Linked DNA regions of Saccharomyces cerevisiae S288C. The gene in region 1 interacts genetically with each later gene. Each region holds a gene or a part of one and is shown on either strand. Other genes may lie near its edges. The genes, in order: RPS21A, TMA20, SIP1 and MDL1.

The links.
Region 2: mutations in RPS21A (region 1) and TMA20 together harm fitness more than expected from each alone (negative genetic interaction), as found in Saccharomyces cerevisiae (2 studies listed by BioGRID).
Region 3: mutations in RPS21A (region 1) and SIP1 together harm fitness more than expected from each alone (negative genetic interaction), as found in Saccharomyces cerevisiae (2 studies listed by BioGRID).
Region 4: mutations in RPS21A (region 1) and MDL1 together harm fitness more than expected from each alone (negative genetic interaction), as found in Saccharomyces cerevisiae (2 studies listed by BioGRID).

What each region holds. Positions count from the first base shown.
Region 1 is NC_001143.9:548,366-552,742, forward strand, and holds RPS21A (40S ribosomal protein eS21 RPS21A), read left to right. Parts: upstream 1-3,291; coding exon 3,292-3,315; intron 3,316-3,637; coding exon 3,638-3,877; downstream 3,878-4,377. Other genes in the region: Rho family GTPase RHO4, read left to right, coding at 1-726; TRM2 (tRNA (uracil(54)-C(5))-methyltransferase), read left to right, coding at 1,083-3,002.
Region 2 is NC_001137.3:161,443-168,727, reverse strand, and holds TMA20 (translation machinery-associated protein 20), read left to right. Parts: upstream 1-1,842; coding exon 1,843-1,853; intron 1,854-1,956; coding exon 1,957-2,491; downstream 2,492-7,285. Other genes in the region: GTP-Rho binding exocyst subunit SEC3, read left to right, coding at 1-920; PAC2 (Pac2p), read right to left, coding at 2,645-4,201; RNA-binding GTPase NUG1, read right to left, coding at 4,443-6,005; YND1 (apyrase), read right to left, coding at 6,286-7,285. UniProt on the Saccharomyces cerevisiae protein: Involved in translation.
Region 3 is NC_001136.10:1,310,532-1,319,674, reverse strand, and holds SIP1 (Sip1p), read left to right. Parts: upstream 1-1,901; coding exon 1,902-4,349; downstream 4,350-9,143. Other genes in the region: DYN2 (dynein light chain), read left to right, coding at 58-288; CAD1 (Cad1p), read left to right, coding at 400-1,629; ARO80 (Aro80p), read right to left, coding at 4,783-7,635; HKR1 (Hkr1p), read right to left, coding at 8,000-9,143. UniProt on the Saccharomyces cerevisiae protein: Beta subunit of the SNF1 kinase complex, which is required for transcriptional, metabolic, and developmental adaptations in response to glucose limitation.
Region 4 is NC_001144.5:524,159-532,847, reverse strand, and holds MDL1 (ATP-binding cassette permease MDL1), read right to left. Parts: upstream 4,549-8,689; coding exon 2,461-4,548; downstream 1-2,460. Other genes in the region: ATG26 (sterol 3-beta-glucosyltransferase), read left to right, coding at 1-2,051; SKG3 (Skg3p), read right to left, coding at 4,903-7,983; EMG1 (18S rRNA pseudouridine methyltransferase), read right to left, coding at 8,458-8,689. UniProt on the Saccharomyces cerevisiae protein: Mediates export of peptides with molecular masses of 2100 to 600 daltons generated upon proteolysis of mitochondrial inner membrane proteins.

The DNA.
Region 1 (4,377 bases):
AGAAGCCTTTCTACCATTCCTAGTTATGAGCAGATGAAACGTACAAACAAACTGCCAGATTATCACCTAAAGATTGTTGTTGTGGGAGATGGCGCTGTAGGGAAGACGTGCCTGCTGATATCTTATGTCCAAGGAACATTTCCGACTGATTATATTCCTACTATTTTCGAAAATTATGTCACAAACATAGAAGGACCCAACGGTCAAATTATAGAATTGGCATTATGGGACACTGCCGGCCAAGAAGAGTATAGTAGACTTAGACCGCTTTCATATACGAATGCAGATGTGCTGATGGTGTGCTATTCTGTTGGTAGTAAGACATCGCTTAAAAATGTGGAAGATCTCTGGTTCCCAGAGGTTAAGCATTTTTGTCCTTCCACTCCAATCATGCTAGTCGGCCTTAAATCAGATCTATATGAAGCTGATAACCTTTCAGATCTGGTGGAACCAAGTTCAGCAGAATCCTTGGCCAAGCGTCTGGGGGCATTTGCACATATTCAATGCTCAGCACGATTGAAAGAAAATATCGATGAAGTATTTGAAACTGCCATACACACGTTACTTTCCGATTCATTATATGCTCCCAGAGAGCCTACACATACAATCAAAAATCCCTTTAAAAGAAATACCACCAGATCAGATATCGATTCTTCTACTGGAGATACCAGCGTCTCTATTTCCGGAACGAAAAGATTAAGAAAAAACAAGTGTATTATAATGTAAGAATAATGATGAAGATTATTCTGTTGCCCATTCTGTACGCACTTACAACATTTGAAAAGTGGCAAGAAAAAATACACACATTTTACTATCTTCCGCTATCTTATTTATCAAGACGAAACAATTAGAACCTGATTTAATTTAACTTCCATTTTTCTGAATCTGGTGTGATATACCGCTCCAATATATTCGAATTTATCCCAATTTTATCATAATAATTCATTTTAATTCGATGTCATAAAGTACTAATTCGATATTAATCTAGCCTAATTACATTAAATACTTAATAAAAGCTTCTGTGACATAAAAGTACAAATCTGTCATTTTATTTTAGAGGAATAGTTTAGGACAAAGTCATTATGTACGAACAGTTTGAATTTTCTTTTTTTTTCTTCGAAAATTCAGACAATAAGGTTAAATATAAAGCTCATCTCATCTCATCGATAAAACGCTGGAGTATTATCACATGCATGCGTTGCTTTTGGACCGTACAGAAGTCTATATTTAAAGCTAGGTTTTTCGCTTGCAGAAACTTTGTCAAGAAGCATAATTATAAACTAATCAGCACCATGACTGGAAGTACTGAAATGGTACCACCAACAATGAAACATACCGTTGACAACAAAAGGCTTTCGTCTCCTTTGACAGATTCTGGTAACCGCCGGACTAAGAAGCCAAAGTTGAGAAAGTACAAGGCCAAAAAGGTTGAAACAACTTCTCCGATGGGTGTCCTAGAATTTGAAGTGAACGATTTGTTAAAATCTCAAAATTTGTCCAGGGAGCAGGTTCTGAACGATGTTACTTCAATTCTAAATGATAAGTCCTCAACAGATGGACCTATCGTCTTACAATATCACCGAGAGGTAAAAAATGTCAAGGTCTTAGAAATTACTTCCAATGGCAACGGGTTGGCTTTGATCGATAATCCTGTTGAAACAGAAAAGAAGCAAGTTGTTATCATACCGTTTGGCCTGCCCGGTGATGTAGTTAATATCAAAGTCTTTAAGACCCACCCTTACTATGTCGAGAGTGATTTATTAGACGTAGTGGAAAAATCTCCAATGAGAAGAGATGATTTAATTAGGGATAAATATTTCGGGAAATCTTCAGGAAGTCAATTAGAGTTCTTAACTTACGATGACCAACTAGAATTGAAAAGAAAAACAATTATGAATGCCTACAAGTTCTTCGCACCAAGGTTAGTTGCTGAAAAACTTTTACCCCCATTTGACACCACCGTAGCTTCCCCTTTACAATTTGGCTACAGGACCAAAATTACGCCTCATTTCGATATGCCAAAAAGAAAACAAAAGGAACTATCAGTAAGGCCTCCTTTAGGATTTGGTCAAAAGGGTAGACCTCAATGGAGAAAAGATACTTTGGATATCGGCGGACATGGTTCGATATTAGATATCGATGAATGTGTGCTTGCAACTGAAGTTCTCAACAAAGGATTGACTAATGAAAGAAGAAAGTTTGAGCAAGAGTTTAAAAACTACAAAAAAGGCGCGACTATTTTACTGAGAGAGAATACCACTATTTTAGACCCTTCCAAACCAACTTTAGAACAGTTAACCGAAGAAGCCTCTAGGGATGAAAATGGTGATATAAGTTATGTCGAAGTCGAAGACAAAAAGAACAATGTCAGGCTGGCTAAAACTTGCGTTACCAATCCTAGACAAATTGTCACTGAATATGTTGATGGATATACTTTTAATTTTAGTGCGGGTGAGTTTTTTCAAAATAATAACTCTATCCTGCCAATAGTGACCAAGTATGTCCGTGATAACTTGCAAGCTCCCGCTAAAGGTGATGATAATAAAACAAAGTTTCTAGTAGATGCTTATTGTGGATCAGGTCTTTTCAGTATATGCAGCTCCAAGGGCGTAGATAAAGTGATTGGTGTAGAAATTTCCGCTGACAGTGTCTCTTTTGCAGAAAAAAATGCAAAGGCAAATGGTGTTGAAAACTGTAGATTCATCGTTGGAAAGGCTGAGAAACTCTTTGAGTCTATTGATACTCCAAGTGAAAACACTTCCGTTATCTTGGATCCACCACGCAAGGGCTGTGACGAATTATTCCTAAAGCAATTAGCCGCATATAATCCAGCCAAGATTATTTACATATCGTGTAATGTCCATTCCCAGGCACGTGATGTCGAGTACTTCCTCAAAGAAACAGAAAACGGTTCCGCCCACCAGATTGAAAGCATAAGAGGATTTGATTTCTTTCCACAAACGCACCACGTTGAGAGTGTGTGTATAATGAAGAGAATCTAATTGCACATATAAAATATCTATCACTATGTATATCTTTCTAGAGTAAATGTCTTCCTGTACTTTTAAATCCGTACATTTTGAAAATTGAAAATGTATCTCAGATTCATTTTTCAATTCGAAATGAACGAAAATTACACTAAAAAGGTAACGTGTAGAGTGATATTATGCACAACGATTTTTTGAAAATTTCATATACGTTATTCTAATGTTTAGTAGAGAGTTTAGCGGAAGATATAAGGTGATCAGGCGTAAATTAACCACATACAAACCATAGAAACATCATACCAAAATGGAAAACGATAAGGGCCAATTAGTATGTTCGAGAAATCTATAAGATTTTTTATATTTTAACGGATGAATGGAAAGTGCATGGCTGTTTAAATAAATGTAAGAAAGATATCATAATGCAAACAAAACGTAGGCATCCGCAATGTATGGAAAACATACTTATGGTTACCGATAATAAGCAACTCCGAAGGTGCCATAGACCAGCTCTGAATGCAGCCTACAAAAGTTGAGCAATTTCTGACAAAATTCTTCGATTACTTTCTTCACATGTATTAAATCATCACTCACCACCACCAACAATGTGTTTTTTAAACTAGCATAACTAACAAAGATTTGTTTTACATCAGGTCGAACTTTACGTTCCAAGAAAATGTTCTGCTACCAACAGAATCATCAAGGCTGATGACCACGCATCTGTTCAAATCAACGTCGCTAAGGTTGATGAAGAAGGACGTGCTATCCCAGGTGAGTACGTTACCTACGCTTTGTCCGGTTACGTTAGATCCAGAGGTGAATCTGATGATTCTTTGAACCGTTTGGCTCAAAACGATGGTTTGTTAAAGAACGTCTGGTCTTACTCACGTTAAGAGAAAAGAAAAAGAGGATTCGATTTAAGCTTCATATCGTTCAGACTAATAGGTAACTGACGATTTTTCTCTTCATTACCAACTTTTCACCATATGTTCTAATTCGTCGGATTTTCGATGAAGCGTTTTAGGTACTCTATAGGTATTTAGGTTATAATAATATATTGTATTTTTAGACAACCGGAACCTGTTTAATTTGAAGAGTCATTGTATTCTTGGCTATTCTGTTTAAAGTTTTGCAGTGTGGAGTCCCTGAGAAACCCCCGAGCAAAAAAAAGACCCCAAAACCCCGTAAATATTACTACTCTACTTGTGTGTTATACATTTTCAGGAGTCAAAACGTACTAACAACCTTAAGCTTGCTTAAAGAGGTGCTATATATGTCGATAAGAAGCAGAGTATAAGGGTGCCTGAAAATGTTTGTTGCTTGTAAGCTATGCCTTTACTCTTGACTTACTTCAATATTGTTGGCAATTCGTGGTGGAGACTTAGTAGGGATT
Region 2 (7,285 bases), on another chromosome or scaffold:
AAAGCTTAGAATCATCCAACCATGAATTTTTATTGTCTGCAGTGACTAGAATGTACACACAAATAAAACAAGTGTGGTCTGATAATGTAGAAGAGCAGGTTTTGCACTTCGAAAGAATTTCTAACGCAACCACCAATGGAGAAATTCTTCCAGGTATACTTGATTTACCAGTAGGCTTGAAGAATTCAGAAGATTTGTTCCAATTTGCTAAGAGGTCTATGGATATTAAAGATACCGATGAAGGCTACGAGTCCATCGAATTAATGAATTCGAGCTTCAGGAAGCTAAGCATAGCTGCCACACGATCGATAACTCACAAAGAAGTTAATTCAAGCATTAATCCAAACCTTTCAGATACTGCTGCTTTAAATAATGACTATATGGAAACTATTTCTCTCCTAGTGAACAGTAACTGGCTAACTGAAATGCTTTCCATGTTAAACTTCAATAAGGATGGTATATTTGATACGTCATTGCAAAACGTTAAGAAAGTTTTCGATGTGGAAAAAGAATCTTATGCTTCCTTTCTACTCCGCGATACTATGCCTAAACTAACAGCCTTTGTTTATGGTGTGAGCAACATCATTGAAAATACCAACAATGTGAACATGACCAATCCTTCAAGATGGGCCGCATATAGCAGGCAGAACCTAGAGAACATTCTTTTAGCATACACTTCCCATGAAATTGAAACTCTAGTAAAAAGGCTGCACACTCATATGGTAAATGACTTCGGTTACCACCAAGAAAATGCCATAAACAACGTCCTATGCGATAAGTTGTGGTCGTGCATTCAAGGTCAAACCGTCTCACTATACTTGAAACTATACACTGTAATTGATAAACACTATAGAGGGACAAACATACGCTTCACGAAGAACGATATCATAAGTGCGTTCGAGGAATACAAGAATGCCTAAGTAACCTCTGCATTGTCGCTTCATATTACATATTTAGACTAATTAAGTAAATATTTTGATAAATTTCAATTTCAAATATCGTGTAAAATGATATATTAGTTTTCGAATTTTTTTTTCTGAATATAAAAGGAACAGAATATTAGTTAGCTTCATTGTCCAATTACTATTGTTACTTACGTTTAATGCATTTTCTTTTCTTTCACTTCCTTCCTTAATACTCCATCCTTATGCACGGGAAATACGCATATCAGTGAGGATTCGTCCGAGATTGTGTTTTTGCTGGTTGAAATTTAATTATAAACCAGACCGTCTCCTCATGGTCAATTCGGTGTTCGCTTTTGAATACTTCAAGACTATGTAGGGAATTTTTGGAATACCTTTTTTCATTACCGATATTCATTCTTTCAAAGGGACTGTTTATTTTTCTTTGGAAGTAATATCAAAAAATAGGTTAGGGATACCGGACTGAAACATTCAATTGAGGGCCCAACCATATTTTTCTTTTCTTTTTCACCGAATTCTCTAATGTGAGTTCACGTTATAGAAGCTGGAATTGTAAGTAATACAGAAATGGCAACTAAAATGGTAGGCATGAGTGTTCTCCTTCTTGTGTGTCTTTCTTTTCACCCGATACAGTAAACTTTGTATAGGAGAGTTGACCAATTACCTGACAGTGCCGTCTATAAACGAGACCTCAACTTCACCTCAAAAACCATAATTTTATCTATTGATAATTATCATTATGGTCATTTTCCACTAAATTCATAGTTACCTTACTCTTATGCTTTGTATTTGTAGGTGTAAAAATGACGAAAAATTTAATTATCTGAAAAATTATTGTGTGAAAAAACTTGATTTTGCTATAACCTTATGTAAAACCATATAAAAGACAAAGACGGTAAACTAAAACAGCAGAGAGGAAATGTTTAAGAAGTATGTCTAACATGAGAATGAATATTGCGTAATTCACTGGTTTTACCAGGGGTTAGTGTACACTTTTGACTCAGTAAGCAATTACTAACATCATCATCGATAGATTCACAAGAGAAGATGTCCATTCACGTTCAAAGGTCAAATCTTCAATTCAAAGAACGTTAAAGGCCAAATTGGTCAAGCAGTACCCCAAAATAGAAGATGTTATTGATGAATTAATTCCTAAGAAGAGTCAAATCGAGTTGATTAAATGTGAAGATAAGATCCAATTGTATTCCGTCGATGGTGAAGTTCTTTTTTTTCAAAAATTCGATGAACTGATTCCAAGCCTGAAATTAGTACACAAATTTCCAGAGGCTTATCCCACTGTTCAGGTTGATAGAGGTGCTATTAAATTCGTTCTCTCAGGTGCTAATATCATGTGCCCTGGCCTAACTTCTGCGGGTGCCGACTTACCACCTGCTCCTGGTTACGAGAAAGGTACGATTGTAGTCATCAATGCCGAAAATAAAGAGAATGCATTGGCTATTGGTGAATTGATGATGGGTACTGAAGAAATTAAATCAGTGAACAAAGGTCATTCCATAGAATTGATTCACCATTTGGGCGACCCCTTATGGAACTTCAGCGTTGAGTAACAAACGGAGCCGTCAACACTATATTACTATCCATCTGCTACATAATAAAATAAAGAAACTAAGAAAAAATTAGAATAACATCCGCTTACAATCTAAAAGGCTGTTTCCTGATTTTTAAATATGCAACTAGCCAAGATTAACTATATACTGTGATTACGATGGGCTGTTAACCTTCTGAATGCTCTTGTTATTTACTGGAGACGAAACATGAATAATATCTCCGTTCACAACATTAAAATCTGAAATGGGGCGAAAATTATACTTTATTTCGTTTATCATCCCTTCAGAATTTTCATGAAATAACTTAACATTCAGTATGTCAAAGTTTAGCTTTCGACATATTACACTCTTAACGTACCTTACTGTAAAACTGGGAAGGACCCAATAATCTAAATCACTACTCGGCTTCTTGCCAGCTCTTATCTTTATTTTTAAGACAAGAGATTGCCGTGTTTCTCTTTCATTGTTGAAACTTAGCTTACTCATATCGATTTCATACGACTTTATGAGGCTTGACCAACGCGGCAGATTGGTGTCATAGCTCAATTCGTTATTCATTACCTTGGAAACAAAAAACATCTCAGCCTCTCTTCTTGTTTTTACATCACATATTGATCCATTCAATACCATCACACGATCAAACCTAGCCAGTACTTCATAAAAAGTAGCCTGTTCTTCGACGTTAATATAATTTCCGTTGTAGTTGAATTCGTTGCCACTCAGATGGATATTTTTCAAAGAGGGAAATGTCTTATTCAAATCATCTATCAAACTTCTTTCCTTAAATTTGTTATCTGTTATATCCAAGGATTCAACAGAATAAATAGCAATACTTGGTGCTCTAGAAATTTGATTATTGGAGACATTTAAACCTTTCAATGTCAAATTTTTTGGAAACAATGGAAACGATATAAGATTATTTCCGCTAATATTCAGTTCCTCCAAAGTACACGGTATTTCATTCTCAAAATTTTGGATTCCCGCACTGGTCAAGTTGTTATAGCTTAAATCCAACATTTTCAGTGTCCTGAAGCTTTTGAGCAGCTTACCAATATGTTTATAACTTAAACCACAGGAAGACAGACGTAAAGTTTTGATGTGTGATAGGTCATATTCTTTCAAGTTGTCCCAACCGCTTAAAAGTTTATTTTGAGATATATTAAGGCTCTCCAAGTTCTTCAAAGGTTCTATGAACTCACATAAAGAGTTGATATTCGTGAATAGATTAAGCGATAAATCAAGGTCCTTGACGTTCACACAATTTTGTATTACACGGTTTAACTCATCTTGATTTTGAAACAATATAGCGACATCGGAATCTCGCAAAGCTATTTTTCTTAACTTCTTATAATTCTTATTTCTCGCATTTAGTTCATCGAATCCCAAACCCTCAACCCTTTTGTTACCTATAGATAGGTCATTAATGTTATTACTCGAGCCTCCATACTTTTCTGACAATGCTTCGTAAAACGTAATTCTGCGTACACCTGGAGATTTAATCTTAGACTCCTTCAAAAATGATCCTGAATTAGGAATTTGAACGTCAAAATAGTGTATGTCATCTATTGTTCCAGAATGTTTTCCCCGGCTGTGATCGTCCCATTCCACCCCATAAGCTTTTACCGAAGGCCACGGCTTAATAACACCTATGAATTTGATGGTGCAAAAATATCCACCAATCTTGAGTCTGTCCCCAATTTCATAAGTCATGCTATCTCTGAAATTCGTTTTGCATTTTATATTTTGTATATCTTATATATGAAACATAATAAAAGTTGGAACTTTTTAATGATTTCTTTGTCCAAAGAGCAAAAAGGCAGTAAAACTAAAAAAAATAAGATGTATAGTAATGAGTTTAAAAGCACACCTATAATTTACAGTAATGTTATTTGATGATAAAGAAAAAATAAGAAACACCCCTTACATAAAAATAGCCTTACATATGACTTATTTATTCCATCATTGTATCTTGATCTTTGCTAGCATCTATGGCCTTGTCAAGAGAGCTAAATAATCCATCCAAATCAAATTCTTTGGACCACTCGGATACAATGGTGGATTCATTTGCTGCAATTGGAGCTTGTTTAGTGCCAGTGTTTATAGTACTTAGATTTTGTTTATCTTGTTGAGATGCAGCTGCCGATGTATTTGGTAAAACCCAACCAAGAATTTTACCATCCCTCCAGTCATTAAGTACCGAAAGACCAGCACTGGCAAGATTTGGAATACCGCCTTTCCCTAATCTACCTCTTTTACGAGCGACGTGAATTAAGAAATGTTTTGTAAACGTATCTGCATCATTAGCAGGAATAGGAGGAATTTCATACAGCTTTTTAAAGCTCTCTGTCATTTCATCTGATTTAGCTAGTCTCTTTACCAACATTAAGACAGCTGGATACGGATCAACAATGTGTTTTGCCGGTAGAGCATTTAGAAGAGCTAATTCAGCTTCATGTTCAACTTTCGATCTTTTCTTATTTTCGCTTGGGAAACATATACCAGGAGAATCTAGAATCTTCAACTTGTTGTCGATTTTGATCTCTCTCAGAGAGGTAGTAACACCTGCTTCATTACCGACTGGGCAAGCCTTTGATTGACCTCCACGGCGCGCCAAAAGAGCGTTGATAACAGATGATTTACCAACATTTGGATAACCGATAACACCCACTACAATAGATCTCTTCAAATTGCTGTTATTAGAGTAAGTTTTCAGCGACTCTAGCAGTGCACTTGCAGTAGTGGTTTGGCTTAGCTTTCTGTTGAAAGAAGTTCCGTTGACTGCACCAGAAGAAGCTCTTAATGGGATTGTAGGAAAACTAGACTTTAAGTAATTTAACCATTGTTCCAATACATGTGGGGGAATTAAATCAACTTTGTTCAGTATTAAAATCAGCCTTTTACCCTGACTTTGTAAGACGGCTTCTTCCACCTTTCTTGATCTTGTACTCTCTGGATCTCTGGCATCCAAAACATATAGGATGACATCAGAAGCATCAATAACGGATTTGAAAATCTTGTCATAAGCTTTCCTAGATTTTTCAAGTTCTGACTCGCCTTCTACATCTTCACCGTAGAAATCAATGTTATAATCAATGACGTCCAATTCATCATCACGAACATCTGCATCATTAGAGGGTGTGCCCTCATATTCAGCAGCTGCTTGCTGAGCAGACTCAACCAAAGCTGCTAATCCATTTTCATCGTCTTCTATCATGTCTTCATCCATTGCATCAACGCCTTGTTCCTTGGCAGCTTTCCTAGCCTCCAATCGTTGTTGTTTGGCAAGCTCTCTTTCCTCTAAGTCCTTCATTTTTTTGGCTTCTATTTCTTCTAAGATCTTAGCCTTATAAGGAAAGTTAGAAGGAATACCAGGGTCTTTCTTAGACCTTGATCTCCAAGTAACGTCCTTCTTAGCCATCTTCTTTTCCTTTTTTCTATGGGCAGAAGCCTTCTTCTTAATACCTTCCTTCAACTTGGTAGATGTTCTTCTAGATTGGCGCTTTCTGACTCTCATTTTATGATATTATAGTCGTGACTGTATACCTATATGCTTGTTCTTGTGTGTACCAAAGTATTACTAGTACAATTCCCTCTTGATATAATTAGCTCATCTCATCGCCTCGCTCGAAAATTTTCAGCAGCTGTGAGAAAAAAATTTCAAAAAAAAAACAGAAGCGACGTTTAGAGTGACGTGAATCACTGTTAATGCAATACTATGGCACCTCACTAGATATATACATATATTTATGTGAGAAGTATATGCGCTTCTATTTATGGCACATACACCACCACATTCAATCATATAGCCTACTGTCCTTAAATTTGGAAAAATCAGCCATAGAAAACGCAGGTCGTAAGTTTGACGGAGCGAGATTAGCGGACTGACTTGCTGTCCTTTGTGGTTCGTGCTCCCTTTGCATTGTGGCTGAACTCTTACCAAGATCAAACATACTGCTACTCTTCATCCTGTACACATCTTTGAAGCCATCTACGTCTGTTCCAAGTTCACCTTCCTCCAATCTGGAAAATGGATCTGATCTCCTTAGAAATTTCAACCTTCTCCTTATGCCTGTCTTAAAGTCCTTGGTAATGTTGTACAGACCGGAAAAACGTCTTCTGATTATGTGTGACCTATGAAAGATCAAGTAAAATATGCAACAAATAATTGCGAACCACATCAAAAATCCTTTATTAGAAAGGCTGGAACTTTGCTTGCGTAGTTGATCAGACTCCAGTAACTTGCCAGGTATGAATTTCTTACCAGTGAGCTTAGTTCTTCTTTCACTGGGCGCAATACCCACCATGAAGTCATCATTACCTGCCAATATGCTACCTGAGGCATAAAGTAAAATTCTGCCTAGTGTCCACGATAACTCTCGTTCTTCGACTTTTTCCACACTTTGAAATAAGGGCCTGTCATTGACATTTTCTGCGTCGACATCTATTCGAGGCATATCAAACCCTTCATGAAGTATATTAAGGACCCAATTGCCCTTAAAGCATGCATCTTTCAAAAAATTCTCCGGAATAGAATTATACACGCCTTTATCACTGTTCGCTAATATTTGCGTCCAATTGGAATTGCAAAACTCCCTTAGGCTTTTGCTAAATTTGTCAAAGTTGTATTCGCCCCCAAGTTTGAATACGTCGTTGGCAGTGTACCAGTACTCAGAAGTACCTATAAATTTGTCATTGGCAAAGTCTATTCGAGGAGCATGAACACCATTAAACAAGCACGGCTCGTCATCACAAGGCATGTTCTTTAAAAGTAACGGATAAATAGATTTTGTACAT
Region 3 (9,143 bases), on another chromosome or scaffold:
CATGTTTTGTGTGTGTACATTTGAATATATATATTTACTAACAAGGAGAAAACTTAGACCGACAAGCTGAAAGAGGATATTTTAACCATCAGTAAAGATGCTCTGGACAAGTACCAGTTGGAAAGAGACATTGCTGGGACGGTAAAGAAGCAATTGGATGTCAAATACGGCAATACCTGGCATGTGATTGTCGGAAAGAACTTTGGGAGCTACGTGACACACGAAAAGGGCCATTTTGTTTATTTCTATATCGGTCCACTGGCGTTTTTAGTTTTCAAAACAGCATAAATAGTGTTTCTTCAATAGTTAATCGATAATCAATTACTATTATACTTTCATACGAATGGGGTGTTACTTTTAAGGACGACATATAAGCAATGGAACGACCAGTTAAGATAAATGGGCAATATCCTTCGGAAAGGTCAGCAAATATATTTAGCAGGTGACATGAAGAAGCAAATGTTGCTAAATAAAGATGGAACACCTAAGAGGAAGGTGGGCAGACCAGGCAGAAAAAGGATTGACTCTGAAGCTAAGAGTAGGAGGACTGCCCAGAATAGGGCAGCTCAACGAGCGTTCCGAGATAGGAAAGAAGCCAAAATGAAGAGTTTGCAAGAGAGGGTAGAGTTACTAGAACAGAAAGATGCGCAGAATAAGACTACCACGGACTTTTTACTATGTTCTTTAAAAAGTTTACTGTCGGAAATTACAAAATATAGAGCTAAGAATTCTGATGATGAAAGAATATTAGCCTTCCTCGATGATCTGCAAGAACAACAGAAAAGGGAAAACGAAAAAGGAACAAGTACAGCAGTTAGCAAGGCTGCAAAGGAATTGCCATCGCCTAATTCAGATGAAAACATGACTGTGAACACAAGTATAGAAGTACAGCCGCACACTCAAGAGAATGAGAAAGTTATGTGGAACATAGGCTCATGGAACGCTCCCAGTTTAACCAATTCGTGGGATTCTCCCCCCGGAAATCGAACAGGTGCCGTTACCATCGGTGACGAAAGTATTAATGGTAGTGAAATGCCAGATTTCAGTCTCGATCTTGTCTCCAATGATAGACAGACTGGTCTAGAAGCTTTAGATTACGACATTCATAACTACTTTCCTCAGCACTCTGAACGCCTGACCGCTGAAAAAATAGATACGTCAGCATGTCAATGTGAAATTGACCAAAAGTATCTTCCATACGAGACAGAAGATGATACTTTATTCCCCAGCGTGCTTCCCCTTGCTGTAGGGAGCCAGTGTAATAATATTTGCAACCGCAAGTGTATCGGGACCAAACCATGTTCAAATAAGGAGATCAAATGCGACTTAATAACAAGCCACCTGTTGAATCAGAAATCTCTAGCTTCGGTGCTTCCGGTGGCTGCTTCTCATACTAAAACAATTCGAACCCAATCTGAAGCAATTGAACACATTAGCAGCGCCATATCGAATGGAAAAGCGTCTTGCTACCACATTCTCGAAGAGATCTCCTCCCTACCAAAATATTCATCGTTGGACATAGATGATTTATGCAGCGAATTAATAATCAAGGCAAAATGTACAGATGACTGCAAAATAGTAGTCAAAGCTCGCGACTTACAGAGTGCTCTGGTTAGACAGCTCCTGTAGCATATAAACATATCTTGAGTATACATAATGTTGGATGAGAGCATGTAATATTGATCGCTTTGTACGATGATTATACCTTTTTTGTCTTTTTACCATTGTCTCTGATGGAATACTATTGACAATTAACAATGGTAGATATATCCGATACAAGTGGATACCTACATAAACAAGGTGTCTTACCTAGTGTTTCTTTCATTTGCACTTCTTTTTTTGCGTGTGGACTGACATCTTGGAAAGTTGAACTGTCATATTATATAGTTGTTGCAGCCGCCATGGGAAACAGTCCTTCTACTCAGGATCCATCGCATTCAACCAAAAAGGAGCATGGACATCATTTTCATGATGCATTCAATAAAGATCGTCAGGGAAGCATAACCTCTCAACTGTTTAACAATAGGAAGAGTACTCATAAGAGACGCGCCAGTCATACTAGCGAACATAATGGTGCCATTCCCCCTAGAATGCAATTACTTGCATCTCACGATCCATCGACAGATTGTGATGGGCGCATGAGCAGTGATACTACTATCGATAAGGGCCCGTCCCATCTATTCAAAAAGGATTATTCTTTGTCCTCTGCCGCAGACGTAAATGACACTACGTTGGCCAATTTGACTTTAAGTGATGATCACGATGTGGGTGCACCCGAAGAGCAGGTGAAATCTCCGTCGTTTTTGAGCCCAGGTCCATCAATGGCCACTGTCAAACGAACTAAAAGTGATCTGGATGATCTGTCTACTTTGAATTACACCATGGTTGACGAAACAACAGAAAATGAAAGAAACGACAAACCACACCATGAAAGGCATCGCTCAAGCATCATAGCTTTGAAAAAAAATCTTTTAGAAAGTTCAGCTACTGCTTCCCCTTCTCCAACGAGGTCTTCATCGGTGCATTCAGCATCACTTCCCGCCTTGACCAAGACGGATTCCATTGATATTCCTGTAAGACAACCCTATTCAAAGAAACCATCTATCCATGCATACCAATATCAATATCTCAATAACGACGAAACATTTTCTGAGAACTCTCAAATGGATAAAGAGGGAAACAGTGATAGTGTAGATGCAGAAGCAGGCGTACTTCAAAGTGAAGATATGGTTTTGAACCAGTCTCTTTTACAAAATGCTTTAAAAAAGGATATGCAACGTCTTTCAAGGGTGAATTCCTCTAATTCAATGTATACTGCAGAAAGGATAAGCCACGCTAATAACAATGGAAATATTGAAAATAACACCCGTAACAAGGGAAACGCGGGAGGCTCCAACGACGATTTTACCGCACCTATATCTGCTACTGCAAAAATGATGATGAAACTGTACGGTGATAAGACCTTGATGGAAAGAGATTTAAATAAGCACCATAATAAGACAAAGAAAGCCCAGAATAAAAAAATAAGGTCGGTTTCAAATTCGAGAAGATCCTCATTTGCTTCTTTGCATTCTTTACAATCAAGAAAGAGTATCTTAACAAACGGTTTGAATTTGCAGCCTTTGCATCCACTACATCCAATTATTAACGACAATGAAAGTCAATACTCTGCACCGCAGCATAGAGAAATATCGCATCACTCTAATTCCATGTCGAGTATGTCTTCAATATCATCAACAAACTCCACCGAAAATACTTTAGTTGTTCTAAAATGGAAAGACGATGGTACCGTGGCTGCAACCACGGAAGTCTTTATAGTAAGCACGGATATTGCTTCTGCTCTTAAAGAGCAAAGAGAGCTTACCTTGGATGAGAATGCAAGTTTAGACTCAGAAAAACAGTTAAATCCTAGGATCCGCATGGTTTATGATGATGTGCATAAGGAATGGTTTGTTCCAGATCTTTTTTTGCCTGCAGGAATTTATAGACTGCAATTCTCCATCAATGGTATATTGACTCACTCAAATTTTCTTCCTACAGCTACGGATTCAGAAGGCAATTTTGTCAACTGGTTTGAAGTATTGCCCGGTTATCATACGATCGAGCCATTTAGAAACGAAGCAGACATCGACTCGCAAGTAGAGCCAACACTGGATGAAGAATTGCCCAAGAGACCGGAACTTAAAAGATTTCCTTCTTCCTCTCGAAAATCTTCCTACTATTCTGCTAAGGGTGTTGAAAGGCCAAGTACACCGTTTTCAGATTATAGAGGCTTAAGTAGGTCCAGTTCAATAAATATGCGTGACTCATTTGTACGTCTGAAGGCTAGCAGTTTGGATTTGATGGCCGAGGTCAAGCCTGAGAGGTTGGTGTATTCGAACGAAATACCAAATTTATTTAATATAGGTGACGGCTCTACGATTTCTGTAAAAGGAGATTCTGATGACGTGCATCCCCAAGAACCTCCCAGCTTTACACATAGAGTTGTTGACTGTAATCAAGATGATTTATTTGCTACTTTACAGCAAGGCGGTAATATTGATGCAGAAACAGCAGAGGCGGTTTTTCTAAGTAGATACCCAGTTCCTGACTTGCCCATATACCTGAATTCATCCTATCTGAACAGAATACTAAACCAAAGCAATCAGAATTCAGAATCACATGAGAGGGATGAAGGTGCGATAAATCATATTATACCCCACGTGAATTTGAACCATTTACTGACAAGCAGTATTAGAGATGAAATAATCAGCGTAGCTTGCACTACTAGATATGAGGGGAAATTTATCACTCAAGTAGTTTATGCACCTTGTTATTATAAAACACAAAAGTCTCAGATCAGTAATTAGAATCTCAATTCGCAATGATTCTCACGAACTCTATTAATTCAATTTTTTTCTTTTTGATTCCTATGGCTCCTAGAACGTTTGCATTCCTTTTTTTTTTGTTCTAGTAGGTATTTCACGTCACGTTTCTGGCAATCCACTTCTCAGCATGCGTGGAATATACTTTAACATATCCAACGAATTTGCTGCATATTCTTATGTAATAGATAGCCGTTCCTAATGTGTAATGGCCTGCTTTGTTATAGAAATCATATATAAGTAGTGATTGAGCCGTAAAATCATCTCATATGCCCAATGGAAAACCAGTCATAGTATTATGAAGCATTCGCATTATTATATACCTCCATCTTCCCCTGTTATTCTGTCTTTGTATTTAAAATCATTTTTACGAATAGTGCGGTTGTCTTGGTTGATGACGTAATTCTTTGATATCTACTTATTTACGCGTTATTGGCCTTGAGTTATTAATATCATTATTGATGTTATTACTATTCACGAACAAGTTGTATAAATTTTCGAAATTATTATTATCACCATCTCCACATTGCATATATCGTTGCTCAATAAGTTCTGTCCATGGTTCTACAAATTCAAGCCCGATATCTTCACTAGCACCGAACCAATCTGTAACCTCGTCAGATAGAGATGGACCTTGGAAGAGTTCATTGTTCAGTAACGCTGTTGTGATATCGTTGTTTTGTTCAACAAAAGGATCAACGATACCTTTAGAAGATGTATCATTTGAATTCTGAGAATTGCTATTAATTTCCTCCGTCAAAGGCCTTTCCGAGGGTTCAAAAGTAGTCTCGGTTTTATTATATCCAATACGTTTAGAGAATATTGGCTTCTTAGTTAAGTCTTGTCCCTCCAGTGAGGATTCGCGATTGCTCTCTAGAGGAGTGGTGCCATCTCTTAATAAGGGTGGTCGTTCTAAGTAAGATTTTTTTCGAAGTTTCATCTCTGTACATAAGTACATTAATATGGCTGCGTATCTTTGACATAGATGTAATTCATCTGGTGTAGCTTCTTTCAAAGTAACCGCAGTGTCACGGATGATATCGAATGTTTCGTCAACCGATATTGCACTTAATTTTAAAATGTTTCTGGCATCTGGATTTGTTGCCAGTTCACTACCAGTAAGTGTTAGGTAGCATTTTACTATGAACGCAATGGATCTAATTATTCGTATTACCCATCTTACGGGCATGTATTTTAGCATTCCTTGCCTTGAAACTCGCTTTGCAGAACTCAATATTTCTTTTGCAGATCTGTATGCTAATTCCACATACCTCGCGCTTGTCACAATTTCATTCATATTCAATCTGCTTGTTTTCCCATCCACTTGCAGTGCGAGGGAAAAGATATAAAGTTGACAATAATTGAAATCTGTGATAATACTTTCACCATTTATTCTATCGATGTTATCAAATATTTGTTTTTTGTTCTTCCTATCTGCTAGTGAGAAAGGGACATCAGAAAGGGGTACAAGAAGCTCTCTGTAGTTACTGAGCCAGCCCTCTATCAAGGGAGAAAAAACACTTAGGACAGAGAGGTTGTGTCTCTGATCTGTCGTTGCCAATTTCCTCTTATTCTTCTCACAGTAAATCGTCTCATATGCTATGGATAGGATTCGAATGATCTCTATTTTTGCTCTTTGGGCGAATGAGAATCTTAGTGGAAATGGTGGTATGTGATTCTGTGCTAGATTAGTATCATCTTTTTTATTAGAATAATATAGAACATACTCATCGTTTAAAAACTCCCTCTCCCAATCAGTCAAAAAATTTTTCTCGTTGTCGTGGTCATTTTCTGAGTTTTCAAAAACTCTCTTCCACCTTAGTTTACTTTCTTCATCAGGCAAAATCTCATTCAGATAAAATTTTTCATTCCCAAGGTAATCCTCATTGCTTTCATTTCCATCGTTTTCAATTTTTCCTAAATTCAAGTTTAAAACGCTGAATGATTCTGCTAATAAGGATCTTTGATTCATATTCATAGCACTGGTAGTCTCAGATATATGAGTGACAATGAATACTTTTGAGCTGTTTTCAATGAATCCCATATCTTGCGCCAGCCTTACTGCAGACCCTGTCAGCATCCATGACATTCGGTCGCTTCTACGGATTGCGCCGACACCGGTCAATCCTTCTTCGTCCTTCCTCGTACTAATATTCTTACTTCCTCTAGCGTTGACATTATTTAACTCAGGATCATTTGCATAGTCAGACCATTTATAGTGGATACTCCTTGGGTTCCATTCCGTGAAAATTATGAAAGCAAGCACGGTGCCAATTGACCTAGTACTAGCCTCTGCCCAAATTGTTTGAGATATAAGCTTCTGGCAATACACCCATAATTTATCGTGAACTTCAATGTGTCTCATCCCATCTTCTCCATTGTCTAATCCTAAAGTATCGAAAGGATGATAGCGAGCAGAAACAGTCAAAATTGCACAAAACAAAATTGGATATTCTGCTAATTCTTTCGGATCATGCAATTGAAGTGGGATATTGGGAAAGAATGGGTGCATCGTGAGAAAAAATGCCTCTATGAGTTCAATCGCCTCCTCTTTAGTAAGCAAGCTATCTGGACCGATGTAATCGAAGTCGTCAATTTTCCGGGTAGGTGGAGGTCTCACTTTCCCGATTTCTTCCATTAATTGTGATGTTTTCCTATTCGTATTCAGCGTGTGGTTAAGCATATCTGCTGTATTTTCGTAAAGTGTGTTAGTACTGTCACTTTTTGAAAGTCGTTTCAACCCCTCGTCCGTAGCAGATTTATTTGTCGCATCCAAAGAACTTTTCAGTGGTTTCGGTGTTGTGGACTTCTCTTTTATGATTTCTTTTGCGCCTTCTTTTGCTACAGTTCCAGCAGCTTGGGCCAGAAACTCTAGGGCGTTCTGCATGGAGGAAAGTTCAAGCTTCCACTTCATCCCTTCTGATTTAAATGATTTTTCACTGCTAATCCCTTTTCTTGACAAAGGTACATCCGATAAAATTGGGCTCGTTGAGTCATTTTGTATCTCTTGCTTACTCTTACCTAGAGATGGCAGACTTATTGCATTAATCGAATTAGGAGGCAAGTCGTTCGAAGTTCCCTTATTAGAGCTAAAAATACATTTTTTTAGCTCCCTTTTGCAACGTGCACACGGTGGGTCGTGTGGGTTATCAACCGGACCAAGATCACATTTCACCTTCCTTGATCTGCAGCTGATGCAAGCTTGGTAGGTTCTTCTCCGTTTTGGAAGTTCAAATGCTGCGTTTCCCGAAGGCCTTTTCTTAGCAGACATAGAGGATAAAGCAGTGCTTAATGTAACCTTATTATGCGTGGATCATATATTCCCACGACTAACTTGATATTATTGCTTTAATTTATTCTCGCTCTTTTTTCATTGGTTAGTTACTATCTTCATTTATCTCGGTTATCATCGGATAGAATAGTGTACTCTCGTTGATTCCGAAAATATTAAAAAAAAGCCTTCATGTATTACTAAGAAGGACTCATAAAATTACAAATGCAATACTTGATGATATATATAATAATAGTAATGGCGTGAGCCTATGTGTATTAATGGGTATCAATTTTTGTGATCATCTTTTGTTGCAAGCGCCCCTTCCAGCAGCGTTTATTGCACAGTCAATAATCATTTTTCGCTATATTTTTGTCGTTTGATGGTTCTGTTGTTTTATAACTTTCGACATTCTCTTATAAAGTTCTTCGTCTAAAGCATCCAGCTCCTCGATATGTACATCTGAAACACTACCATTGTCGTCAATATCCTCTATTTCTAAATCTTCAAGATTAGAGAAAAGAGTCTGATTTGGCTTTGGTAGTGAAGATTCTGTGTAGCGTAATGTGTGAAGTTTAATCGAATTTGTATGAAGGGGTGTGGTATAAGCGGTACTTGGCAAACATGTCTGACTCCCTGTAGAAAACTCATTCGTAATTTGATTTCCAGTATCGGGATCATCTGTAGTACATGATTCAGTGCCTAGTCCATGAAGTTTAGTTTCGCACAAATGGTTCTTGTTATAGTTTTCAATAACTTCGTCTGGCAAGTGAAAACTGTTTGACTCTTCATTGTCAGAATAACTGTCGTATAATCGAATATCACCATTTTCATCAACATCTAGAATGCCTGATATGGACTCCTCATCATTCAAGAAGGCTTCCGTAGCATCTTGGTTTTTGTCATACACGCAGTCTCTTACTATACTGTCTATTCCCGAACCATCATCCCCATTGGTTTGATCAAAATCGAGGGGGATTGCGTCCCTGTACAATAGATCACCGTCATCATTAATGGTATAATGTAATCTGTGAATAGTATTATAGACTGTGTTTTCGCCAGTCACAATATAATGATCATCTACCGCAGAGTAAACACTTTCATTTTCAGATTCTGGCGGCTTTTCATTATAAACTTGGTTTCCAGAAGAAGAGCGGGAAAGCTCGGTACTTTCAAGTTCCCTCTCATTATTGAGGCTTTTCCCTATGCAGTTCCTTGGGTGTCTTTTCAATAATATATTTCTATGACGGAAAGCAAAAAATGCAACGAATAACCACAAGAGTACGCCAATAGTTAAAACAATCAAAAAGATGATTATTTTTACAGCATACTTTCCTGCAGATGCAGAATCTGTGAATGAATTGATAAAGTCATCCAAAGCTCCATACTTGTAAGTTCCATCTATGTTTTGGGAATTTCCTTTTGAAGAATCCAAGACGCTTGATGAGGTTAAACTAGGGACATAACCACCATCTCCAGAGCCATATAACGTCAATCCCCCTAATGGG
Region 4 (8,689 bases), on another chromosome or scaffold:
AAGAAGATAGTCAAGAGCAAACCGTAGCTTGGAAGCCAAGTCACCTCAAAAATTTTGCCGAAATGTGGGCTGCCAAACCAATACACTACCGGAACAAGTTTATCCCGTTTCAAAAGGATGATACCTATTTGATTAAAGAAACAGAAGAGGTTTCTGCTAACGAGCGGTTCAGGTACCATTTCAAGTTTAATAAAGAGAAGTCACTAATCAGTACTTACTACACATACCTGAATAGAAATGTTCCCGTTTATGGTAAGATTTACGTATCCAATGATACGGTGTGCTTCAGATCGTTATTACCAGGGTCTAATACATACATGGTTTTGCCATTGGTTGATGTGGAGACATGCTATAAAGAAAAGGGATTTCGATTTGGTTATTTTGTATTGGTTATAGTAATTCACGGTCACGAGGAGCTATTTTTTGAATTTAGCACTGAGGTCGCCAGGGATGATATTGAACGCATTCTTTTAAAGCTCTTAGATAACATATATGCAAGCAGTGCAGAAGGATCGAATATATCGAGTGCTTCTCTTGGCGATGTTCAGCATAACCCTGACTCAGCGAAGTTGAAGCTTTTCGAAGATAAAATTAATGCCGAGGGCTTTGAGGTACCGTTAATGATTGATGAGAATCCGCACTATAAAACAAGCATAAAACCAAACAAGAGTTATAAGTTTGGATTATTGACGATTGGCTCAAGAGGGGATGTTCAACCATATATTGCACTTGGAAAGGGCTTGATAAAAGAAGGTCACCAAGTGGTAATAATTACACATTCGGAATTTAGAGACTTTGTTGAAAGTCATGGAATCCAGTTTGAAGAGATTGCTGGTAACCCAGTGGAGTTGATGTCCTTGATGGTGGAAAATGAATCAATGAATGTTAAAATGCTGAGAGAAGCTTCGAGCAAATTTAGGGGATGGATCGATGCTCTTTTACAGACATCTTGGGAGGTTTGTAACAGAAGAAAATTTGATATTCTGATTGAATCACCCTCAGCTATGGTTGGTATTCATATTACTGAAGCATTGCAAATTCCTTATTTTCGAGCATTTACCATGCCATGGACAAGAACAAGAGCATATCCACATGCATTTATTGTACCAGATCAAAAAAGGGGCGGTAACTATAACTACCTGACACATGTCCTTTTCGAAAACGTTTTCTGGAAGGGAATTAGTGGGCAAGTAAACAAGTGGAGAGTTGAAACTCTAGGTTTAGGGAAAACAAATCTTTTTCTTTTACAGCAGAATAATGTTCCTTTCTTATACAATGTTTCTCCTACAATTTTTCCGCCATCAATTGATTTTAGCGAGTGGGTGAGAGTTACAGGATATTGGTTTCTTGATGATAAGAGTACTTTCAAACCGCCAGCAGAATTACAAGAATTTATTTCTGAGGCAAGATCAAAAGGAAAAAAATTGGTTTATATCGGGTTTGGTTCGATTGTAGTCTCTAATGCCAAAGAAATGACGGAAGCTCTTGTCGAAGCAGTTATGGAAGCAGATGTATACTGCATTTTAAATAAGGGATGGTCAGAAAGGTTGGGCGATAAGGCGGCAAAGAAGACAGAGGTAGATCTTCCAAGAAACATTTTAAATATCGGAAACGTTCCCCATGATTGGTTGTTCCCACAAGTCGATGCTGCCGTTCACCATGGTGGTTCTGGAACTACTGGAGCTTCATTACGTGCTGGTTTACCTACTGTTATAAAACCTTTCTTTGGTGATCAGTTCTTTTATGCAGGTAGAGTAGAAGACATTGGAGTTGGTATTGCTTTAAAGAAACTTAACGCTCAAACATTAGCAGATGCTTTAAAAGTAGCTACGACGAACAAAATAATGAAGGATAGAGCTGGATTAATAAAGAAGAAAATTTCCAAAGAAGATGGGATTAAAACTGCAATAAGTGCAATTTACAACGAACTTGAGTATGCAAGAAGCGTTACTTTATCAAGAGTGAAAACTCCGCGCAAGAAAGAGGAAAATGTAGATGCAACCAAACTGACACCTGCTGAAACAACGGATGAAGGGTGGACGATGATTTAAACCGAGTATCACTCTCACTTTTATAAAAAAGCGTAACATCTAATCATTAATAGTAATAAATAATTAATTTTTTTTTTGTAAGTTTCAGTCATATTTGTACTCAGGAAAGATATGAAAACGATAATGTTGATAATAAGAATAATAGTAACAATAATAAAAAAGTAAAAAAATAAAGCTTAATTTGAGTTTCCTAAACGTACCGTATGTTGTGCATCTAATATTAATTTAATGTGTATAAAGGCGTACAAGGAGCTTTAAAAAAAAACTGTTTGTGTAAATTACATTGGGCATCATTTAAATTATAGAATACACAATTTCATATTCAGCAAACATAATGCGATAATTAATTGTCTTCCAACACATACCATAACTGTGGCATAGAAAAGTGATTCCATACTGCGGCAACTTCTTATACTTCCCGGGCAACACTATTGTCCAAATCTATCACTCCCCCTTTTCCTTCCTCGTCCTGCTGTTCGGCAAGCAGCGCATTTAGTTCACTATTAGGAATGGCGATTAGATCTCGGAATGAACCGGTTTCAACCACTGAGCCATGTTTTCCTAACACAATCACCCTAGTACTGTGTTTGATCGTCGAAAGCCTATGTGCAATTGATATAGTAGTGAACCCCCTTTCCACACGTCTCTGAAGATTTTTGGCAACTATTTCTTCACTTTGAGAGTCAAGGGCACTGGTTGCTTCATCTAAAATAAGGACGGCAGGATCTAGTAAAAACGCTCTAGCTAATGCAATTCTTTGCTTTTGACCACCGGACAATTGCGCGCCTCTAGCACCAACCATAGTCTGCAATCCATCTGGAAAATTGGCCAAAAATTTTGTGCAATTAGCTTTTCCAATAGCACGTCTAATACGATCATCCTGCTCCGCAATTTCAGGCGGAATGCAGTAGAGGATATTGTCCAGAATAGTCCCATTGAAAAGTAGTGGTTCTTGTTGCACGTATCCTATTAGTCTTCGATACTTCCTCAAGTTGAAATTTCTGATGTCTTCATCACCAAATTCGATCGATCCTGAGTTCACATCGTAGTACCTGAGCAACAAAGACGCAATTGTTGATTTGCCGCTTCCTGATGGACCGACAGCGCAAACGTGTTCACCAGGCTTGATAGTAATATTCAAATCCTTGAAAATCTGGTGTTTGGGCCGAGTGGGATAAGTGAATGACACGTTTTTGAAAACGATGGGTTTTTGGGCTAATGACACAGGATCCTTTCCAATAGTCGGACGAATCAATGGCTTACGGTCATTTAATTCAAAAACCCTGGCAGCCGCACCAGCACCTTTCATAAGTTCTGAATAGAAGCTCGATAAACCAAATAATGAACTTCCGGTATACACGGCATACATCATGAAACTAGATAATTCACCGACAGTCATTGAACCACTTTGAATCATGCTTGTTCCAACCAATAATAACGACAGCATTGCAGTGTTGCCAACTAGCCCAGTACTTCCGAAGAATAAACCGGAAGTAACCGCTTCCTTCAGACCAATATGAAATACATTTCTAACCTCTTTTGCATAGCGGCGAACCTCGTTTTTTTCACCACCATATGCTTGAATTGTCCTAGTAGCATTTAATTGCTCTTCTGCCACTTTTGTTAACCCACCTACTGAGGTTTGTAACTGTCTTGATAGGTTTCGTATTTTCCTACCATATATCAGTGCCATAGCACCTAAAGGAGGGGCTAAAATCATCATTACGCAAGTCAATTTCCACGAGAGGAAGCTCATCATGCCAAAACCGACAAACCCTTGAATAATTGCCCTTGTTCCATCAGAGACGTTTTGTGTGACCGATTTGGCCACTATAGATGCATCAGATGATAATCTTGAGATCAAATCACCGACACGATTAGTATCTAAAAATGTGGCATCTTGATCTAATGCAGCTTTCATTGTTCTCGTTCTTAATCTTGCGACCAGTCTCTCACCGGTGACCTTTAAAATGATGATTCTGCTTGCATTAGCAACTGCTCCAATTATAAATACTGCTCCTAATGCTGTGAAAAATTGCTTCTTCGTAAAACCATATAACTTATTGCTTTTTGAGCCCTCTTCATCTTCGCCGTCACTTTCGGAAGCCAAGTCTAATAATTTACCGATAACGGAAGGTACAGCCATACTAACTGAACTTGAAATGAGGATTAAAAGGAGGGCAAGACCAATGTACTTGGATTCCGGTTTAGATAAGACGAATAGCCGTTTAATGTCTTTAAACCCCGAGGATTTTGAATTTGCATTGGACAACTTTAAAGTGGGCTTGGTGGACTTCTTTCCTTGCGCAATGTCTGATTGTAATCGAATCGACCGCAACAAAAAGTGCTTTCTATGTGGAATAATCAAATTAATTTCCGCTTTTTGGTACATGGGAGGTTTGAACAATGACTTGGTTGAATATAGTGCACTTGCTGATGCGAATTGACTTCGCAACAACTTTGGACCTTTACAAAGACGTATCATTCTTACAATCATTGGAGCCCTTCCTCTTCTTTAACTTAGTAAAATTTCAATGATCTGCTTCTCATGTAAGTACCCACGTCTGCTTAGTTGAATCTAGTTGCATGTTGGGCAATACTGAATACGTAACATATATACAAAGCATTTGTGATTCTGAAGTCTCGGCTCGATGCGCCTAAACGAAACGCGACGCCAGTAATATAATACCTGTTAATGAAGATTTGTTTAGCTTAAAAGCAAAGGTAAAGAGATAAATAAGGGTATAGAGGTATATTATAGTCGTATTAAAAAAATAATACATTTATGGGAAGTTATATAAAACTACTGAATTGTAAAAAAAAAAAAAAGAAAAGATGAAATATAAATGAATCAGCTGGAATATGGGTTGGTTGATGTGCTATTGGGAGGCATAAATTGAGAAAATCCACTTTGTGCAGTAAGCGGATTTGTGCGGTTAGTGGTATTTATATGGAGGCTGGGACGGCCATCTGGTACATGGTGCTGTGTTTGCGGTATTGGAGATCTATCATTTATTGGTAACTTATTATTCAAATATCTCATATTTTGAGGCTGTTGTTGCAGTTGCGGCGATGGATGGAATGTATTTTGATTGTTACCACTTCCATAGGTATTGTTTCTGAAGGAAAGTGATTGGTTTTGGCGCTGTTGCGACGAATGAAACCGATGTTGCGAAGATTGGAAAGAATACATTGATGAGTTTCCACCTTGTTGCATAGGCTGGACGGTCAGCGGACCCGTTCTTATCTTACCTAACGGGCGACCAACCGGGTATGGTGCTTGAGGCTGCGAGCTATTGGCTGAAGAATTTCTGTAACCAAATGACGAAGTTTGTGGTCCTTTCACATGAAGTGGTTGAGATTGTTGAGGTTTGTTTATTTGATCACCAGAGAAATCTTCCCTATCCTGATAGTTTCCTCCATTCGAAGTAAGCTGGTTTAAGTTTGTAAATAAAGAAGAATGTGGGATCTTGTCATTTCTGTCACTGGCAGAAAGGGTTTCAGTTACTGTTCGGTTGGTTTGCCCATTGCTATAATTACTGGATGCTGCATCCTGATTATCTGAAAAGTCAAACTCATCCGTAGTGTACCTACTTTCTGTTTCCAACATTTGGTTTTGTTCCATATAATCTGGATCAAATACGTTTTCCTCCCCAAAATCCGGCACACGTTGTTCTTCATTGAGATTGACCGATGAACTGTTATTGATATTCAAGTTCAGGTCCGTAACAAAAGAACTGTTTTCTGCTGTGTCACTTAAAGCTTCTGAAGAAATATTTGCCATTCCCATATTGCTAATCTTTTGAGATAACTCTTCAAACTCTTTCAAAGATCCCAGGTCCTCATTTTTTGAACGTCTACTATCTTCTACCCTCAAAGGCGAAGAAAGGGAAGTATTTATCGTACTTTTCGACTCTCTGACGTTACCTATTTCAAATGTCTTGCTTTCAGCGGATGTACCTACGTATCTCTCATAGGGGCTTCTGTTTTCATTTTTTGACCGATCTTTAACTTCCAATTTTTGAGGTTTAGGGCTTGAATTAGCCTCCGATTTACCAAACGGAGATGTGGAATATTTGTCGTAAAGGGCGGATAATTCGGCTGCATTGGCGAGGTGAATATGTTTGTCTTCTGGTGTCGTAGAGAATTCGTTAGCAGATTTCGCTTCAACGTCTTCCATATTTTCCAAATTTGAATCAGTGATTTTGAGTTTTAATCCTGAACCAAAGCTTCTCTCTGAATTTTCATGGTTGAGCATTCCTGATGTCATTGGGGTGGTAAAAGTATCTTTGAAGTTAGTAGTGACACTGGACTGCGCCGACACAGAGTCATTGATTTTTGAAGAATTATCAGTCACAAATAATTCAGTTTGTTTTACTGAGGTAGCATGTGAGTTTACGGAAGCAGAAGCGGAATTAATATCATCGGTCGATGCTAATGTAGGAGACTTCATCTTAGATTTTTGCGGACTTTCCATTTGTCTTTCAGGGAGAGAATCGTACCCTTCAAATAATTCAGCTGAACTAATTGCCGGCGACTTCATCATCCCAGATGAAACTGATACAGTTTTATTACCACAGCCTTTATAGCCCTTACTTAATTTTTTCTGTAATACTTGAACAATGTTATTCCTCCAATCAGCAGCACTCCAATGTATGTAATTTTTGTCTTTTGTTAATGATAAAACGTCATCCACCTGCAAATAATATATATGCGGAAGAGTGGGTAAGGCAAACAGCAGGGAGTCTGGGTCAGTTCTGTTGGCAATCAAACCCTTTGGCCTACCATATAAGTAGAACGCGTTCATAGCTGGGATTAAGAAGCGAATAATAGTGTCATATCCCGGAACACCTTGATGCTTTTCAGGCATGATAAATAGGTTGGTTTCTTGAGGTTCCTCACTTTTGTCAAAAGAGACAAAACCTTCCAATTTTATGATTGTAGATGTGTCGATTAATATCGGCGAGGAAGGATAAACGGCATATAAAGCCCGTGCATCTACTACCGTTGTCATTATGTTTGATTTTTTGGTTTTTTTGTTATTTTCATAGAAACATATTGAACCTTTCGAATTTTTCTTTTTTTTGCCAGACTGTGGAGAAATAACAGCATAACAACGTTTCCATGGCATACCTGTCCCGAATCTTACGCTAACCCAGTCCTCATAAGTGAATTTTGTATCTGCCATAACAACTTTGATATCACCAAGTTTAACACCTCTGCTTGACAAAAATGAGCCCGTGTAGGCCTCTTGCAACGCCGTAAACTCGAACAAACTAAGCCTAATTGCTGCGTTCCAAGTTTTGAATGATTTTGAATTTTTGAATTTTAAGAAATACCTGTTTTTTAAAGTTGTTGAAACAACAAGAACATTGTCTAGATCTTTCTTTGTCTTTTCGTTCTCTGATGCAATGATTACCTGATCATTAGCGTCCAAACTCCTCACAGAAGCATCTGTAAAATTGATAAAAGAAGGTCTCGATGCGGCTTTTTTCATGGTTGATGTGTTCTTATTATTCTTGGAATCTGATAATTCTTTTGCATCCCATAAAGCCAGCTGAGTTCCTAGCAACACACCATAGCATTCTTCCCACTGACGCGCGGCAGGTGTTCCGTCTGTCTTCAAATCATGTAATATCAAGAATATACCATAATGGTATCTCCTATGAGCCTGTGCAGAGAGTAAAGTAACGATTGGTACTAGTTCTGGTGAGATATCACCATTAATAGAGTGTTCTTGCGGAAGATCTAACGTAGGGCTCCCAGGAGTGGATATTGAGTTACTGAAGAGTCTTGAAGCTGATGCTGATAAACTTCGAAGCCCTTGGTCGAATTTGGGAGAGCTCGGAGTGGATGGGCTCTCATCATTTTTGAAAACTTTTGGGGGAGCAGATAACTTTGGGGACTTCACACCAGAGAAAATCCTTTTCATTTCTTACTGTAGCTTCTTGGTGTTCTTGCAGTTACTTGTTCTTTTATTGCCACGCTTTGGGACTTCAATTTTGGTTTTCTTTGATTTCCGTTTTACGAATATCGTTTAGTAAGAATAAACAGTGCCAAAAAGACCAAATCGGCAAGGCGCTAGGGAAATGATACTGGCAAGTTAATTAGCAATATTAAGTGCCGTTTGCAGTTGTAAAAAAACTTTTCCAACGAGCTCTTTATCCTTTGTCTTTGCCAAGAGTTCTTCCACGTTTTGTTTATATCATATTGAAATTTTGTTCACCGTTCAGGGTCCGAATTAGGTGAAATATTCAAAGACTGAGCCTCGTTCAGATGACTTCCGAACCATTATTTCGCGTGGGGGAAGGATAGAGGTGCAGTCGAATTAATCGCTAACTCGATTGTTTCTATATCGTATATTGACTGTTTATTATACAAAGAGGATGCCAAGTAGACTTAAACACTATAAAATATTCCAAGCATCTTCAGCGCCATGGCAAAATTTAGAACATGCAACTGAGGCAGACAATGGGTAATTGGACAAGCCGACTTTTTCGTCGACGTATTCATCCGCAAAGTTATCTTTACCTCTTGCCATGGCACCAACAAAGACACATATACTTTCATCATCGTCTAGTTTTTCGATGTAATCTTGAACGCGGATAACTGGTGCGTCAAAGGATAATGTCACCTTA